Arabidopsis thaliana: one gene and its partners. The protein of the gene in region 2 interacts with the protein of the main gene of each other region in a pairwise test. Each region holds a gene or a part of one and is shown on either strand. Other genes may lie near its edges.

The links.
Region 1: the proteins of HB32 (region 2) and AT4G33690 interact in a two-hybrid assay, tested with the Arabidopsis thaliana proteins (one large-scale study listed by BioGRID).
Region 3: the proteins of HB32 (region 2) and AT1G35490 interact in a two-hybrid assay, tested with the Arabidopsis thaliana proteins (one large-scale study listed by BioGRID).
Region 4: the proteins of HB32 (region 2) and AT5G18037 interact in a two-hybrid assay, tested with the Arabidopsis thaliana proteins (one large-scale study listed by BioGRID).

The regions. Positions count from the first base shown.
Region 1 is NC_003075.7:16,172,860-16,176,982, reverse strand, and holds AT4G33690 (G patch domain protein), read right to left. Parts: upstream 2,228-4,123; 5' UTR 2,046-2,227; intron 1,786-2,045; coding exon 1,617-1,785; intron 1,523-1,616; coding exon 1,240-1,522; intron 1,135-1,239; coding exon 846-1,134; 3' UTR 655-845; downstream 1-654. Other genes in the region: AT4G33700 (CBS domain protein (DUF21)), read left to right, coding at 46-317, 392-436; AGD2 (Pyridoxal phosphate (PLP)-dependent transferases superfamily protein), read left to right, coding at 2,353-2,435, 2,674-2,750, 2,869-2,936, 3,132-3,248, 3,533-3,595, 3,808-3,912, 3,998-4,048.
Region 2 is NC_003070.9:5,045,715-5,049,371, reverse strand, and holds HB32 (homeobox protein 32), read right to left. Parts: upstream 1,591-3,657; 5' UTR 1,327-1,590; coding exon 820-1,326; 3' UTR 619-819; downstream 1-618. Other genes in the region: AT1G14686 (ENTH/ANTH/VHS superfamily protein), read left to right, coding at 2,572-3,591. UniProt on the Arabidopsis thaliana protein: Putative transcription factor.
Region 3 is NC_003070.9:13,059,511-13,064,093, forward strand, and holds AT1G35490 (bZIP family transcription factor), read left to right. Parts: upstream 1-2,038; 5' UTR 2,039-2,242; intron 2,243-2,335; 5' UTR 2,336-2,345; coding exon 2,346-2,875; intron 2,876-3,089; coding exon 3,090-3,165; intron 3,166-3,269; coding exon 3,270-3,396; intron 3,397-3,486; coding exon 3,487-3,656; 3' UTR 3,657-3,945; downstream 3,946-4,583.
Region 4 is NC_003076.8:5,970,452-5,973,192, forward strand, and holds AT5G18037 (NAC (No Apical Meristem) domain transcriptional regulator superfamily protein), read right to left. Parts: upstream 1,116-2,741; 5' UTR 1,078-1,115; coding exon 862-1,077; 3' UTR 650-861; downstream 1-649. Other genes in the region: AT5G18040 (target of trans acting-siR480/255 protein), read left to right, coding at 2,505-2,601.

The DNA of each region.
Region 1 (4,123 bases), on a different chromosome or scaffold from region 2:
TGCTGAGTTACAAGTATTGAGAATCTTTGCTTTGGTTTCTAATAGGGAGTGTTAAGGAAGCCCGAGTGGATGTGGATAGTGAGGGAACTCCTACTCCTCAGGAGAGAATGTTAAGGACAAAAAGATCGCTTCAAAAGTGGAAGAGCTTTCCGAATCGAGCAAGTTCGTTTAAAGGAGGGTCAAAGAGCAAGAAGTGGTCAAAAGACAATGATGCAGACATCCTGCAATTGAATGGCAATCCGCTGCCTAAACTTGCTGAGGAAGAAGAAGCAGTCGGAATCATTACGATGGAGGATGTCATTGAAGAACTTCTGCAGGTAAGGAATCTTATATAAGTTAAAAACAAAAATTCTTTTTCACGGATTAATTATTGCTTGGCTTGTGGTTGCAGGAGGAGATCTTTGACGAAACTGATCACCATTTTGAAGACTCCTAACACAGAGTGCATGACCACTGAACTGGTTATGAATGTCGAAAACTTTAGTCTTTGTTTTCAACTTTCAAACTGTCACTTGTCCGGCGAATGTGTATCAATGTAGGCATGAACAACAACTTTTTCTATGGTTTCAAGATGTTTTCTCTCTATATATATATCATTGGTCTCTAAGATATGTCGCTCTCTCCTTTCTTCAAAGAGTTTTACCAAATCTGAACCCTCATAGGCCACACCAATAGTTGTCTCTACTACCTATATATCATTAGTCTCTAAGATATGTCACTCTCTACCTTACTTCAAAGAGTTTTTATTCGCATTTTACTAATACAAGAATTAATGAAATATGATCATCTTATGGATACAACATCACTGCCGGTGTAAAAAGGCAATTACTTTTGTCCGGAAAGATCTAGTCCCTACCATATTTTCTCTTCTTCCTATCCCTTTTCTTCTCTTTTGACTTGTGTTTCTTACTAAGTTTCTTCTTATGCTCCTTTCTCTTTCTATGAGCCCGTTTGTAAACTTCCTCCTCGTCGGAAGAAGAAGAATCTGTCCTACGTCTCAATAAAGGTGATCGCTCTGGCTGAATCACTAGCTTCCGATCTCCTGTATCAGAAGTTCTTGACAATTCCCTCTCAGGAAGACAGGGTAGCGGTTCATCCATCATAGCACCAACAGAACCTCTGCCACGCTTGACCCTATCATAGACCAGAATCACAAGTTTTATCAGCAAAAGCCGATCCCAAATTCGATCATTATTGTAAAGGAAATAATCAGGCAGCATCTGAGTATAATGGAAATACCTTGATTGGAGAAAAGTCTTAACCTCGACATCTCCTAAGCCTTCATCATCATCATCCTCTGATTGCCATCTTTTGCTTCTGCTCCGGCTTGATGATGGTGATAAACTAGTAGTAGTAACATTCTCATCAACTGAAGTACATCTCTTTAAAAAATCCCTCCTATTGTTCTGCTCACTTTGACCATTGCTGCTCTCATCTCTTGATTTTCTTTTGAGCCTTTCACCAAACTCAATCTCTTTACTCCGAAGACTCCACATCTCATTGGTTTCCACAGCTTTGTTTGCTGAATGGAATAAAGAAGAAACAAATAAGAGATAAACTAAAAAAAAACTAGATTTTGTTGGATAGAAGCAAAGTCTGTCAACAAAAGATTATACCTTGCTGAACACCAAGAACTGTAGCAGTGAGAAATCTAGAGTTAGGTCGATGCCTTACATTAGGCTTCTCAAGATATGCTCTGACGCCATCTTTCTCAGCTTGTCTCCTCAATTCTGCTGCTTCTCTTAAAAGAATGGAAGCTATTCGATTTTCAGTTTCCAGATCCATCTACTCCAAGGTAAAACAAAAAAGTATAAGCCTAATCAAGTTATGTGATCAAATCAATCTGGGTAGATCAAACAAAGATGGAGTTGAACTTAATTCGACCACTACAGCTATCTAAATCATTGCTTCTTAATCACAGAACTTCCACTAAAGCTACGTTCTTTCGACAACGAAATCAACGAAGCAAAACAAACAAAATTACGTAAACACACAACAATCGAAAAGGGGATTTTTGGAGAACCCTATTGGTCGAGATTAATTACCACGAAATCGAATTGACTCAGATACAGATATCTAGTAGCAGCTTCACGAAATCGTGCGATTCCTCGGCGTTTTCCAGCAGGCGCAGAGCAAAATCATTGTCCGAGCCAGAGAGAGAAATAAATAAATTGAACTGAATTGGAAAATTCCCAAAAATTTCTAGTAAAACCGAACCGGAACAAACCGGATTAATTTCCTCTCAGACCAAACCGAAGAAGAACCCTAGTTTTATCAGTCTCACCAACTATCTCCCATGGTTCATTTGCTCTGCAAATTTGTCTGAAAAAATCTTTGTGCGAAGCAGGAAAAATGTCGTCGACCCATCAGTTAGTTTCTTCGATGATCTCTTCTTCCTCATCCACTTTCTTAGCCCCTTCAAATTTTAATCTCAGGTGCGTCGTTTTGTTTTCTTTTACTCTCTGTTTGCTACTGATATAATCTAGTGAGGATGAATATGAAATTGGATTCATTTCCAGAAATTAATTGTATGTTATGAATTTACTTGGAAATTTCAATCCTTTGGTTTTTAAGTCGATGTTGGATGGTGTTGTTTGGCCAGAGAACAGTGCATTTGCTTGTGATGATCATTGATTCATTTTTTTATTGGTTTGCTTTCCTTTTTGGCTTCAGAACTCGAAATGCTTGCTTACCCATGGCAAAACGGGTCAATACTTGCAAATGTGTTGCTACGCCGCAAGAGAAGATCGGTAATGTTCCTACTCCATGTTGTTTTTGCTGTAATGATTAGTAACATAGTTAATGATTTATCGTCTTTTAGCTGTTTATCTGTTTCTTACAATACATGATTTTGTTTTCTGTATGTAGAGTATAAGACCAAAGTGTCACGGAATTCAAACATGTCCAAACTTCAGGCTGGATACCTATTCCCGGAGGTTTGTTACCTGTTACTCTCTTGGTACTACTATTTAAGATTTCAAATACCTAAAGGAGTGGCATTTCAAGTTAACATTTTTGAAAGCTTCTAGTGATCTGAAATATTATAACTATCTGTGTAATAAGTTAATATATCCTCATTGATTCTGTATATAATGCTCCTCTCTCTTATTTTTTTGTGTGGATGCAAACAGATTGCAAGAAGAAGGTCTGCACACTTGTTGAAATATCCAGATGCACAAGTTATAAGTCTTGGAATAGGCGACACAACTGAGCCAATTCCTGAAGTGATCACTTCTGCTATGGCAAAGGTACCTCCTTATCTTAACTTAGCTTCATGTGCTCTTTGCCCTTCTCTGGGCTCTAGCATATTTTAAACTGATTTTACTAACACTGCCCTAACATGTATTATTTCGTTCATTTTGACAAAAATGTATAACATATTTTCTGTTTTGGCGTATTTGGATTATTAAACGAGAACTTCTCTGTAATCTAACAATGAAAATTATTCTGGTAGCATAGTTTTTTTGTTTGCTATACTATTCACACAGGCATGTAATCTCTAGAGATTAATCATGTTTTTTTTCTCTGACAGAAAGCTCATGAGTTGTCAACAATAGAGGGATATAGTGGTTATGGTGCTGAACAAGGTGCAAAGGTCAGTGCACCCTTCATTTCCACCTTATTGCGTTGTTATCATTTCTTTATTATCTGCCTTTGCACGTCACTTCAATTTTATTATGGATAGTCTTGAACTGCTGCTAAATTCAAGAGAAGATGGATTTAAACCTGTTTCTTACATGTAAAATCTTAAAGCTTAATCTGTTAAGTTTTTATCCAAACTAACCTTGATTTCACATATGTGAAAAGCCACTGAGAGCTGCTATTGCGAAAACATTCTACGGTGGCCTTGGCATAGGGGATGATGACGTTTTTGTTTCTGATGGAGCTAAATGTGATATCTCACGTCTCCAGGTTTGTTTTATTGCTGACTATTCATCTGTAATTGATACAAGATTAAGAAATATGAACAGCTGTTTCTTGATTCCACTTCTTGCAGGTTATGTTTGGTTCCAATGTTACAATTGCTGTTCAGGATCCTTCATATCCGGTAATTGGGCATATAGAAACCAAATTGCAGTTGTAGTCTTCTCTACTTTTGCTCCATTTTAACGTGGAACTATGC
Region 2 (3,657 bases):
GTAGGTAAACACTAGAATAATTGTAGACTAGAGCTATGTTTTTTAGTTTTCTCAAAGGTGTTCTTATTGGCCTTGAAATGCCAACAAAAGCCCAATTAAAGTTGAAACTTTCGTGGGAATGGGATGCTTGGTATAATGGTAGCAAAGTTACAATTTTATGAATCAATTAGTTCACAATTTTATTGGTATATACTTTTAAGTATATGGTTTTACGACTTTATAAAAAAGCAAAAAGTATAAAAATTATTTTTGAAATGACTATTTCTACAAAAAAAAGCATAACAGCTTTTATTGGCTTTGATGATGTCATTATAATTTTTAGTAACAAACCTCGAAAAAACACAATGTTGTGTTATTTCCGTAACTAATTGTCTTTTCATTACGTGAAATATATCTTACCATTAATTATTTACAAATTTTAGAATTAGATATGTAATCTTTACAATTTTCTATCAAAACAAAATGTCATTTTGCCATCCTTTCCCATAATAATTAGTACTACTATTCAACTACTTCAATATTATTACGTATAAATATTCTGATTGGCGAACAGTATTGACCATAAATAAAACGTCAGCTAGTTGTCTTGTCAAAACTCAAATCCCACCGACGTAAAAAGAAGAATCATAAAGACCAATTAAAGAGTGAACCAGTTAGTAATTAAGGACATGTCCAAATCAAACACATTAAACCCACTAATGATAAAATAATAATCCATTAAAATAAGCGATCAAGGAGGAGAAATTAACACAGAAGGGATGAAAATGAAATTGGAACTAAATTATAGTATTATCTCAATTAAGGATATTAGTTAATTAGTTAGTGATAAAACTTTTTATTATTGTTAACCCAAGTTTTAAAATGATAACGAGTAACACCAATCCCTTCACAGAAGACTCTTATCTCTTCTCTAAGCGCTCTCTTATCCTTCAACGTCCATCCCAACTTCGCCGCGTAATCTTTCATCGCCTCTCTCTGCTCCGCCGTGAACTTTGACTTCCTCCGCCTCTGCACCGTCATCTTCTCTTCCGTCGAAGTCTCCTCCGTGTCATCCTCCTCCTCCTCATTTCTTTCCTCAGCCGTTTTCCATTTCAGCCTCGCCAGCTGCTTCACGCGCCTTAAGCTCGTGAACGGGAAGCGCGTGTGATTGATTTGAGGAGAAGATATGACGTCTATACGACGGTGGTAGCTGCGGTGGCAACCACAGGCGACGCAGAGATCGCCGGTGGATGGTTGAGAGTATTCACGGCAGCCATCGATGGCGTAAGAGCCGAGCTTCGCGGCGTGGTTGCGCATGCATTCTCTGTAGACACAAGTACTCTGCATCTTCTTGGCTCTCTAATTAGAAGAGAGAGACTTTGTTTTTTTTTGAGTAATGATTTTTGCGTTTAGGGTTTGTTTTGGAAGAGTTTGGTTTTGGGTTACTTAAGTTATGATATGGTGTTTTTTTGTGTCAGAAAGAGTTGGGAGTTACAAAAAGAGCAAAAATTATTGTTACTTACTTGCTTTAAGATTTTGTACTTACGTGTTTATTAGTTGTCATAATAAATGTGAAAAACCCACTTTTTGAACTGTTTCACTGGCTTTGCTTTTCTACACATCCATAATTTCGTATCCTCTCAGCTCATAAAGTTGTCATCTCTACCCATAGTTAACTCTTTCAATCCATTGGGTTAAGTGTAGTAGCAATAATGAGGAATAAGAAAACTAAACCACTTTTTGTAAAACTATAGCGGCTAATTAGTACTAGTAAACTAGTACTAATATATTAGTAATAAGTTTTTAATATAGGTATAAACAAATTTAATAAGTTTGGATTGTATAGAGGTCACATGTTTCTAAATAAGTAGAAGTATTTTGATTTATAAAAGTAAGATTTAAGAAACTAATTTTGTAAAATTGAGAAATATCAATAATATATTGTAACTAAAATGAAACTATAATTAAGAAGCAAAGATCAAAAGTTTTCAAAGAATCTGATTTTATTGCAAAAAGAAGTCTGAAACGCTTTCTTTTAAGAGGTTTAGCAAAAAAGCAATTGTGTGACCCACGAGTTGACTATTCACTATCGTATATGTTCATTTGCCTACTTTATGTTTTGTGTGTAATTTAGCAAGCTAAACGATTATTTTACGGCTTAACGATATCAATCACACCATTAATAATTAAGATATGTATATTTCCATATTGTACAAACAAAGTCATAATTTGACTTGCTCAAACCACATACATTATATACGATTACAACACTACTACACTAGAAAATTGCCTCAAAACAAAATCAACGAAACATATAGAAAAGCCAACCAAACAACACTTATCTAATGAACTTATTACGTAATCAATCGAGTTAAACTGAAAAATGGAAGATAATAATTTAGTAACGACATCAAAAATATCTTTTTTTATTTTGGTCAAAACTGAGATTTCTTAATTTTAGCTTATCCTTATCTAATTCGTTTTAAACCAGCAAAGAATTGACATCAAAGAAAACAAAACACGGTTTAAAATGAAAATTATAAAGCGCGAAATAGAAACTAACAATTTGAAACCACACACATTAGTCGGAAGATGAAGCTTTGGAAACGCGCCGCCGTAGTTCTCAAAGACGGACCTAGTCTCATCGCGGCTGATGACATTCTCACAGCAGCCGTTGTGAAAGCTACAAGCCACGACGAGCTCTCCATTGATACAGAGAGCGCTCAATTCATCTACCGTCACGTTCTCTCTAGCCCGTCAAGCCTCAAGCCTCTCGTAAGCTTAATCTCGTCTCGCGTGAAACGCACGCGAAGCTGGGCGGTTGCTTTAAAAGGCTTAATGCTAATGCACGGCTTCTTCCTCTGTAAATCAACCGTAGCAGAATCGATCGGACGGTTACCTTTCGATCTTTCGAGTTTCGGCGAAGGTAATTCACGGATTATGAGCAAATCCGGTGGGTTTAATCTCTTCGTACGTGCTTATTTCGCGTTTCTTGATCGAAGATCGATTCTGTTTCACGATGGGAATCGTCATCGATACAACGAAGAATCATCGGTTCTGATTCGACTTGTGATTATTCGTAAGATGCAGATTATTGTTGATTCTTTGATTAGAATCAAACCGATTGGTGAAAACATGATGATACCTGTGATTAATGAAGCTATGGAGAATGTGGTTAGTGAGATTATGGAGATTTACGGTTGGATTTGTCGTCGTATTGCTGAAGTTTTACCTAACGTGCACTCCAAGATAGGTAAAACAGAGGCAGACTTGGCGTTGAAGATTGTTGCTAAATCCATGAAGCAAGGAGGAGAGCTAAAAAAGTATTTTGAGTTTTGTAAAGACTTGGGAGTTTCTAATGCTCAAGAGATTCCTAATTTCGTAAGGATTCCTGAAGCGGATGTGATTCATCTCGATGAACTCGTAAGGACGGCGATGGAGTCGTCTGAGGAAAGTGCGGAGAGAACAGAGATTGCTGAGGAAGAAGAAGAAGAAGAGGAAGAGATAGAGACGAAGCTTTCTGATTTGATAACACTTGATCATAATGAGGAAGCTCCTGCCTCTCCTCCGAGAGTTGTTGTCGTTGATATTCCAGACTTAATTAGCTTTTAACTATGATTATATTCTGTATTAATTTCGATTGTTGTTATTGTTCATATGGTACACATTCAAATTAAT
Region 3 (4,583 bases), 8.0 Mb from region 2:
TTTAGATCGATATTAATACAAGATGGTATACTACATGTCAAACTCTTAAATTAACAATCAAACTACAAGTGTATAATCTTAAACACTAAACAATATAGATAATATCAACAAAACATATACAACTCACAGTTTACTATACATTTAAAATCAAATAAAATAATATCATATATTTTTAAATCATCTTTACAATAAAAGTTTTTAGTTTAACTAAAATATAAGGCTACTTGCGGTATACTGCAGGTTAATATCTAGATTATAGGGCTTATTGGATCTAGAGATGGGTCATCAAAGATTTCCTAAACTGAAGCAAAATATACTGAATATTCAAATATCTATCTATTACCAAATTATAAACAAATAAGTTCGTAAACAATTTAATATTTTATTTACGAAATCAATTAAATCTTAATCACATAAAAATTAGCACAAAAAAAAATATTCAACAATTAAAAAATAACAAATCTCTGTGTTATATAAGTTTTGATACTATATTCGAATAAAGTGTAATATACCTTTTCAATTTGTATTCTTTAACTAATTTAAGCTAACAAATATATTTGCTAATCTTATACCTATCAAAACCGACAATCGTTTCTTATCTCTATAGTATTTTTGCAAGACTTTTTTGGTGGATTTGGATAAAAGTGCGTTCGGCTCATATGGTACATTCCCCTATTAAATAAATATGGTGCACTCCTATGTTATTAACTAAAATGTTTAGATTATAATTCAGAGTCATATCATTAATAAAAATAATATTAATAAATAAATGGCTTTTTGGCAAGACAGATTTAGAGAGACGGGTTTTTGAATCAACATTAATAAAAAAAATAAAATATAATTAATCCACCGTTTCAATACGGGTTAAATCTTTAATTTATTATTTTCTAAGACCACTAATATTAAACATATCAAATCATCCTAATTTAGAAAAGATTATATAAAACAAAAAATGTTATGTGGTATGTATAATGTTACTATATATAAAATTAAACTATAAAATATAAATGTATTAGAAAATGATACAATTTGCAAAACTTTTATATAAAAAATAATTCTTAAATTTTAAAAATTACTACTTAAAAAAAAATCACAGGACGGGTAAAGAAATTACAGAACGGGTTTTATTTTAGAATTGAGTTATATGGCGGATGTATTTGAATTAATATTTATAAAATTTTAAAATATTATTAATATGCTGTTTTAATAGGGGTTAAAACTTCAGTTTTTTAACAATTGTCTCATGGATTCGTGGTATAGCGTTAGTTAATAACAATTATAAATTGTAAAATATAAATATTTTATAAAATAAAATTTGCAAGTTTTAATATATATTACTTTTAAAAAATAAATCGTCCCGCGGTATACCGCGGATTAAAATCTAGTAACATCTAGTTATTTTGCTAACAACATTTCTCAAATAATAGTATAGAGATGGTATAGAATCTACAAAGTGCAAACTATCACTTATAATTATTTATCAAATTAAAGCTGATAACATTTCGTACTAAATTTCAGCTTTAGAGTTTAAAGTGCAAATTATTAAACATTTGAACATATCAATTTCTTAATATTTAACAAAGTTTCTCCTTATTTTTTTATAGTTCTCTTAAATATATATATATATATATATATATATATATATATTGTATATCTAGTACTTTATAAGTTCATAATAACATTAGAATTTTATAATTATGTAAATAGAAAAGATTATTAACTAAAAAAAGAAAGAAATTGTCCCACGTCATTACATTGTCAATCTCATATGATAGTGAGAGTAATATTTTGATTTTGCATCTATTAGAAGCGTGTAGATAAATCACATAAAAATATTACGGAGCTTACTATACAAATTCGATGAATAAAAAATGAAAGAATTCCTCGAAGCTTTTGTAGTATTGTGTACCAATAAACCCAGTCTGAATAAACCAATGGTGGAGTCTATTATGGGAAAGTGAAAAAGCAAAAATAACTGAGAAAATAATAGACCAAATAAAGCATAAGGACAAGAATTGTTGTTTTCACGAAAACCACGCAATGTAAATCATCAACATGGATTGTTTCAATATGGTATCTTCCTCTATTTAGTGATCTAGAGATTGTTTCTTGTTTTTTTTTTTTTTTGCATTCTAAGGAGAAGAGGTGATCGAAACCAACCACACGGGAGGAGCTTATGCCATTTTCCTCCCCGTGGAAGGTCTAACAATCACACGTCTCCTAATCTCGTACGTCTTCTTAGGTATGTTCTTTGCATGTTAAAGAAACTGTATCTTCAATTCTTGTCATTACATGATAATGGTTTTCTTATACATGTTTTGCTCATACCTTATAGGTTTTGAAGAATGGAAAATTTAAGGAGGTTGTCAAACCCGGGAAATTTCGGATTCATTGGAAGATCACAATCACGAGTTCCCCAAAAAAACATGGAAAATAACATTTCTCCTCCTAATAATATGCACCACCATAGTGCTTCTTTAGATGATCTTTTCACAGAAGACCAACCAGCTTGGCTCGATGAGCTCCTAAGTGAGCCAGCATCACCTAAGATTAACAAAGGTCATAGACGTTCAGCTAGTGACACAGCTGCTTACTTGAACTCAGCTTTAATGCCTTCGAAGGAAAATCATGTTGCTGGTTCGTCTTGGCAGTTCCAGAACTATGATTTGTGGCAGTCCAACTCTTATGAACAACACAATAAATTAGGATGGGATTTCTCTACAGCAAATGGAACTAATATCCAAAGAAATATGTCATGCGGAGCTTTAAATATGTCGTCGAAACCCATTGAGAAACATGTAAGCAAAATGAAAGAAGGAACTTCTACAAAACCAGATGGTCCTAGATCAAAGACTGACTCAAAACGTATCAAACAGTAAGTAGTCTTATCTTTGTCATGTGTACTTATAATAGGTTATTAAAATGTCCCACATCGATTGAGATTAAGATCTTTAGGCATTATCTGGCAATCCTTAACTCTTGAGCTAACTGTTGGGATAAGTTAGACCACATTCCTAATATAGGTTGATAAACATATTTCTGATGCGGTTTAATAATATACAATTTTATCGAAAATTATTAAAATGCAGTCAAAATGCTCATCGAGCGCGTTTGAGAAGGCTTGAGTACATATCAGACCTTGAAAGGACCATCCAAGTGCTACAAGTAAGATTCTAAAGGCTCGTGTATTTCTCGAAGTTCTTTAATTTCATTAATAATATGAAAAGATTCCTAATGTTATATTATACATGTTGGATTTTCTTCAATAGGTTGAAGGATGTGAAATGTCATCTGCCATTCACTACTTGGATCAGCAGTTACTCATGCTTAGCATGGAAAATAGAGCTTTAAAACAACGTATGGATAGTTTAGCAGAAATCCAAAAGCTTAAACATGGTATTTAACCTTTCATATCACTACTAAAATGGATCAAAATGCATTTATTTTGTTCTCTTGTAAAATTTTGATTTTGGTTGGTTAATACAGTGGAGCAGCAATTGCTTGAGAGAGAGATAGGAAACCTACAGTTTCGACGACACCAACAACAACCACAGCAAAACCAAAAACAAGTCCAAGCAATACAAAATCGATACAACAAATATCAACCACCTGTTACACAAGAACCCGATGCCCAATTTGCAGCCTTGGCAATATGATTTAGGAAATATGGATACATTGTTCAGATTAAGCTGAGCTCCTCTTGCTCTACCTTAATGTCCATACAACATAGGTGAACTTGATGTTTGTAGCCTTGAATGAAAACCTAAAAAAGCATCGTTATGTAAATCAAAATGTGGTTGCCCATATCCTCCTCTATTGCATTTCTCTCTATTTATGGCATGGTAGAGAATCTCTTGTCAAGAAACTTCATGTTATGTAATAACTTGTAATCCTTCTTATTTCATCTATTATATATATGAATAAGTAATTTTTTTGACAATTTCCTTTATCTATATATATACAAGTTGTGACCGATTCTAGTAATAAAAGGAAAAAAAAAATATATATATATATATATATATATATATAAATATTCTGTATACTATTTTATACACCAGTCAAGATAATATGAAAATTAAGATTAATATTTAAAAAATGAATTTACGAAAACATAGTAATTTGTTGGGTTTATGCAACAGTAAAAAAAAAAATCCTTTAAGCCGCCATTGTATTTTAATTTTACCCTCCATCTCAAAAAATGCATATTAATCATAGTAAGTAAAAAAACTGATATGAAATATAATTCTCATCCATATCTTTTAAAAGATTTTATGGCTACATACATTATATATATATATATATATATTTATTTTTAAATGGTCTTTCAGCATCGTCGGGAGAACTTCAAGTTGAGATACTATATATACAAACTTTACAAATTTGACAACGATTAAGAAAGATTGTATTGCGTATTATTTAGACTTTCAATAACTGATTTGCAGTATCATTTGTTATTTTGTTTAGTTTCTAACCCTAAGTTACAAAAATTAACCAATTTGTTCATATATTTTTTCTATTAGATTAGGAAAAATTCTCAAATCTAAATAATCTCCGAATATATAACTCTAACTAGAATTTAACCC
Region 4 (2,741 bases), on a different chromosome or scaffold from region 2:
TACGAGAAAAATTTTTGGCGGAAAAGTTTTTTTTTGGCGGGAAAAAAAGTTTGCCGGAATTTTTTTTTTTGGCGGGAAATTGAAAGTTTCCAAGTACTTGTTATTATTAAATGAGGGTAATTTGGTCATTCTGTTCAAGAAAAAAGATATTTTTAAAAATAAATAATATAAAAGAGTATTATGGCAAAAAGGTAGTCAAAAAATATAGTTTTGCAAATCTCCCATTAATTTAACCAATTTCTTATCCATTTCGTAGGCCAAAGTTTCTCTTTTTCCTTCATAGGCATGGATGGGCCTGATCATTATTAATATCTCATATATTAGATGAGATAATCTCTTTGATCCTCAAAACAAGAAAATATTTTTTCGTTTGTGAAAACAAGAAGGTGAGCAGTTACAAACTCCTCATAAAAATAATGATCTACATGTCTTTAAATAAACAAGAATATACGAGATTTTCCTAAAGTTTTTATGAGGAATTTAAATAAATTATGCAAAGGGAAATATCAAACTAGACACAAAATTGAAGTAAAATAAGATAGAAGTAGAAGTTATTATCCTCTTCACTGAAAATTTACCAAGACACATAATCATGGTCCTTTAAGGTGGCAGAGAACTTGAACATGGAATAATGAGCCACCGTTTTCGAGATAGTATTCTGTCATGGTCCAACCACTGGCTTGTCTCTCACCTTTGACGTAGAAACTTAGACTTCTTCCCAATCACTGCACCGGTATCTTCCAACACGACATCACTCAACTTCCCATGGCCTTTCCAACATCCATCAACCGTCTCTCCTTTGACTTTGCGGCTGATGCGTTTTCCAGTAACGTTTTCAGAGAGATGATTCACTTTCACGAACTAGAACCATTCATTAGGTTCCAAAAAGTTAGTCTCGGTGTGAGACAACCGCCACGGCTCTTTGGCATAGATGTCAAACTTGTCTTCTAATTCAAATTCTTTATTTGATCTTTTGGTAACCTTAGGCCCGATATAACGGATGATGAGTTCTTGGGCAGAAGGATGAAACCAAAACCCAACATGTTCCTCTTTATCGTAGTACTTAACCATCGACATATTCTTTTCTTGTTCTATGAGACAAAGAAAACGCAAATCAGACAAAAAGTTAAGGATCTATATATTATAGCAATAATCCAAGGGGAACAACAAATGATCTTTAGAGCAAAACTGAAAAACAATAATAAACGCGTTGAAGACTTGAAACTTTCAGGTAGACAAATAGAAAAGGTGATTTCGTATATATATGTGGATTTTAAGGATTTTTAATATATTAGGAAAACGATTCTTTAAAAAGGAAATATATCCATGTAATTCAAAGCCAATATTCTTAAAATTAGATAAGTAAGCCAATATCACATTTTTTCTTTTCAAATTTGTAATGTTGGTTTTAGCGTATGATATTTTGTCTACTATTTTCTTTTTAAACTTATTTTGTCTTATATCTTTTTACAAACTAAAAAACAAGATTATTCTTTTACTTATCTAAATAATGTTCAAAGACTGGAAGATTTCTTGCTCTTCTGATATGGAGAGATACTTGTATTAGTACTTGAAGAAGCTTATGCCTCAAATATTTTCTTGCTCTCCAAAAAATGCATTGACATGATCGTGATCGGTTGCACAAAAAATGGTATCCACTCTCTAAACTTTTAGAACAAGTACTCTTTCAAGAAGAAAGAGAAAAAATCTATTTACAACGAATAAGTCGATGTCTAACTCGGAAAAACAAAATGTTGGATCATCATCATTGGAGCCTAAAAGAAAATTGTTGTTAAACTATAATTGTTGCCCTTAAATAAACAGGCAAAAACGATGTTGTTAAAAAGACTTTTAAAAACATTGGCAATGTCATAAAAACGGCAACGTTTTAAGGAAAGTTTCAAACGTCGTCGTCTTGAGGACTAAAGTTGAAGTCTTAAAAAGGCGACACGTTTCGGGACAAAGCTGAGGGGAAATCTTCGCGACGACTGTGAGAGTTTGTTTCGCGAACATTCTCTGAGTTTCTCTCGACGCGACGGCGATTGCGAATGTCTTCTCCTTCTGATTCTCGTCTCTCTGTGTCTCCGGTAATTTCTCTCAATTTTCTCTCTCTGTTGGATTCTTTTAGCTTGTTTTGGATTTGTTACCGATTCTACTCCGTGACTTGGCCTTTCTCAGTGCTATTAGTGAACAGAGATAAACTTTAGGGTTTGAACTTTTTTTTTTGGATGAATGATTTGAATCCTTTTTAACGTTAGAGTTGTTCTTTGTTAATGGAAGCTATCATTGTTACTTTGGTTTACTCTAAAGCTTCTTGTTCGACGATTTTTCCTCTGCAACTAGAAATGGTTGTGTTTATGTCAAAACTTGAAACCATGTTTATGGTTTTCGCTAGTTAGGTCTTGTTTTTGTTTTTCCTTTTGCCTTATCTGCTTGACTCTACTGGATTTCTGAATGTGTTCTTCTGCTGGATTCTACTTGAAACCAGGGATAAGTAATCGAAGATGAATATGATTCAGCGATTCATGCAATCTATGGCAAAGACGCGTGGCCTCTGTCATCCAGATTGCGTAAAAGCAAGTAGTGAGCAAGAAGATTACGGTAAATGAATCAAATCTTGTTCTAGAGAACATTACTTTATTCGCATCGTTAAGAGATACTGTGATTGATTTTAGCTGATAGTAGTTTACTCCCTTTTTAATATAGTCTAATCCTTTGAAAGAGTCATATGAATTGACTAC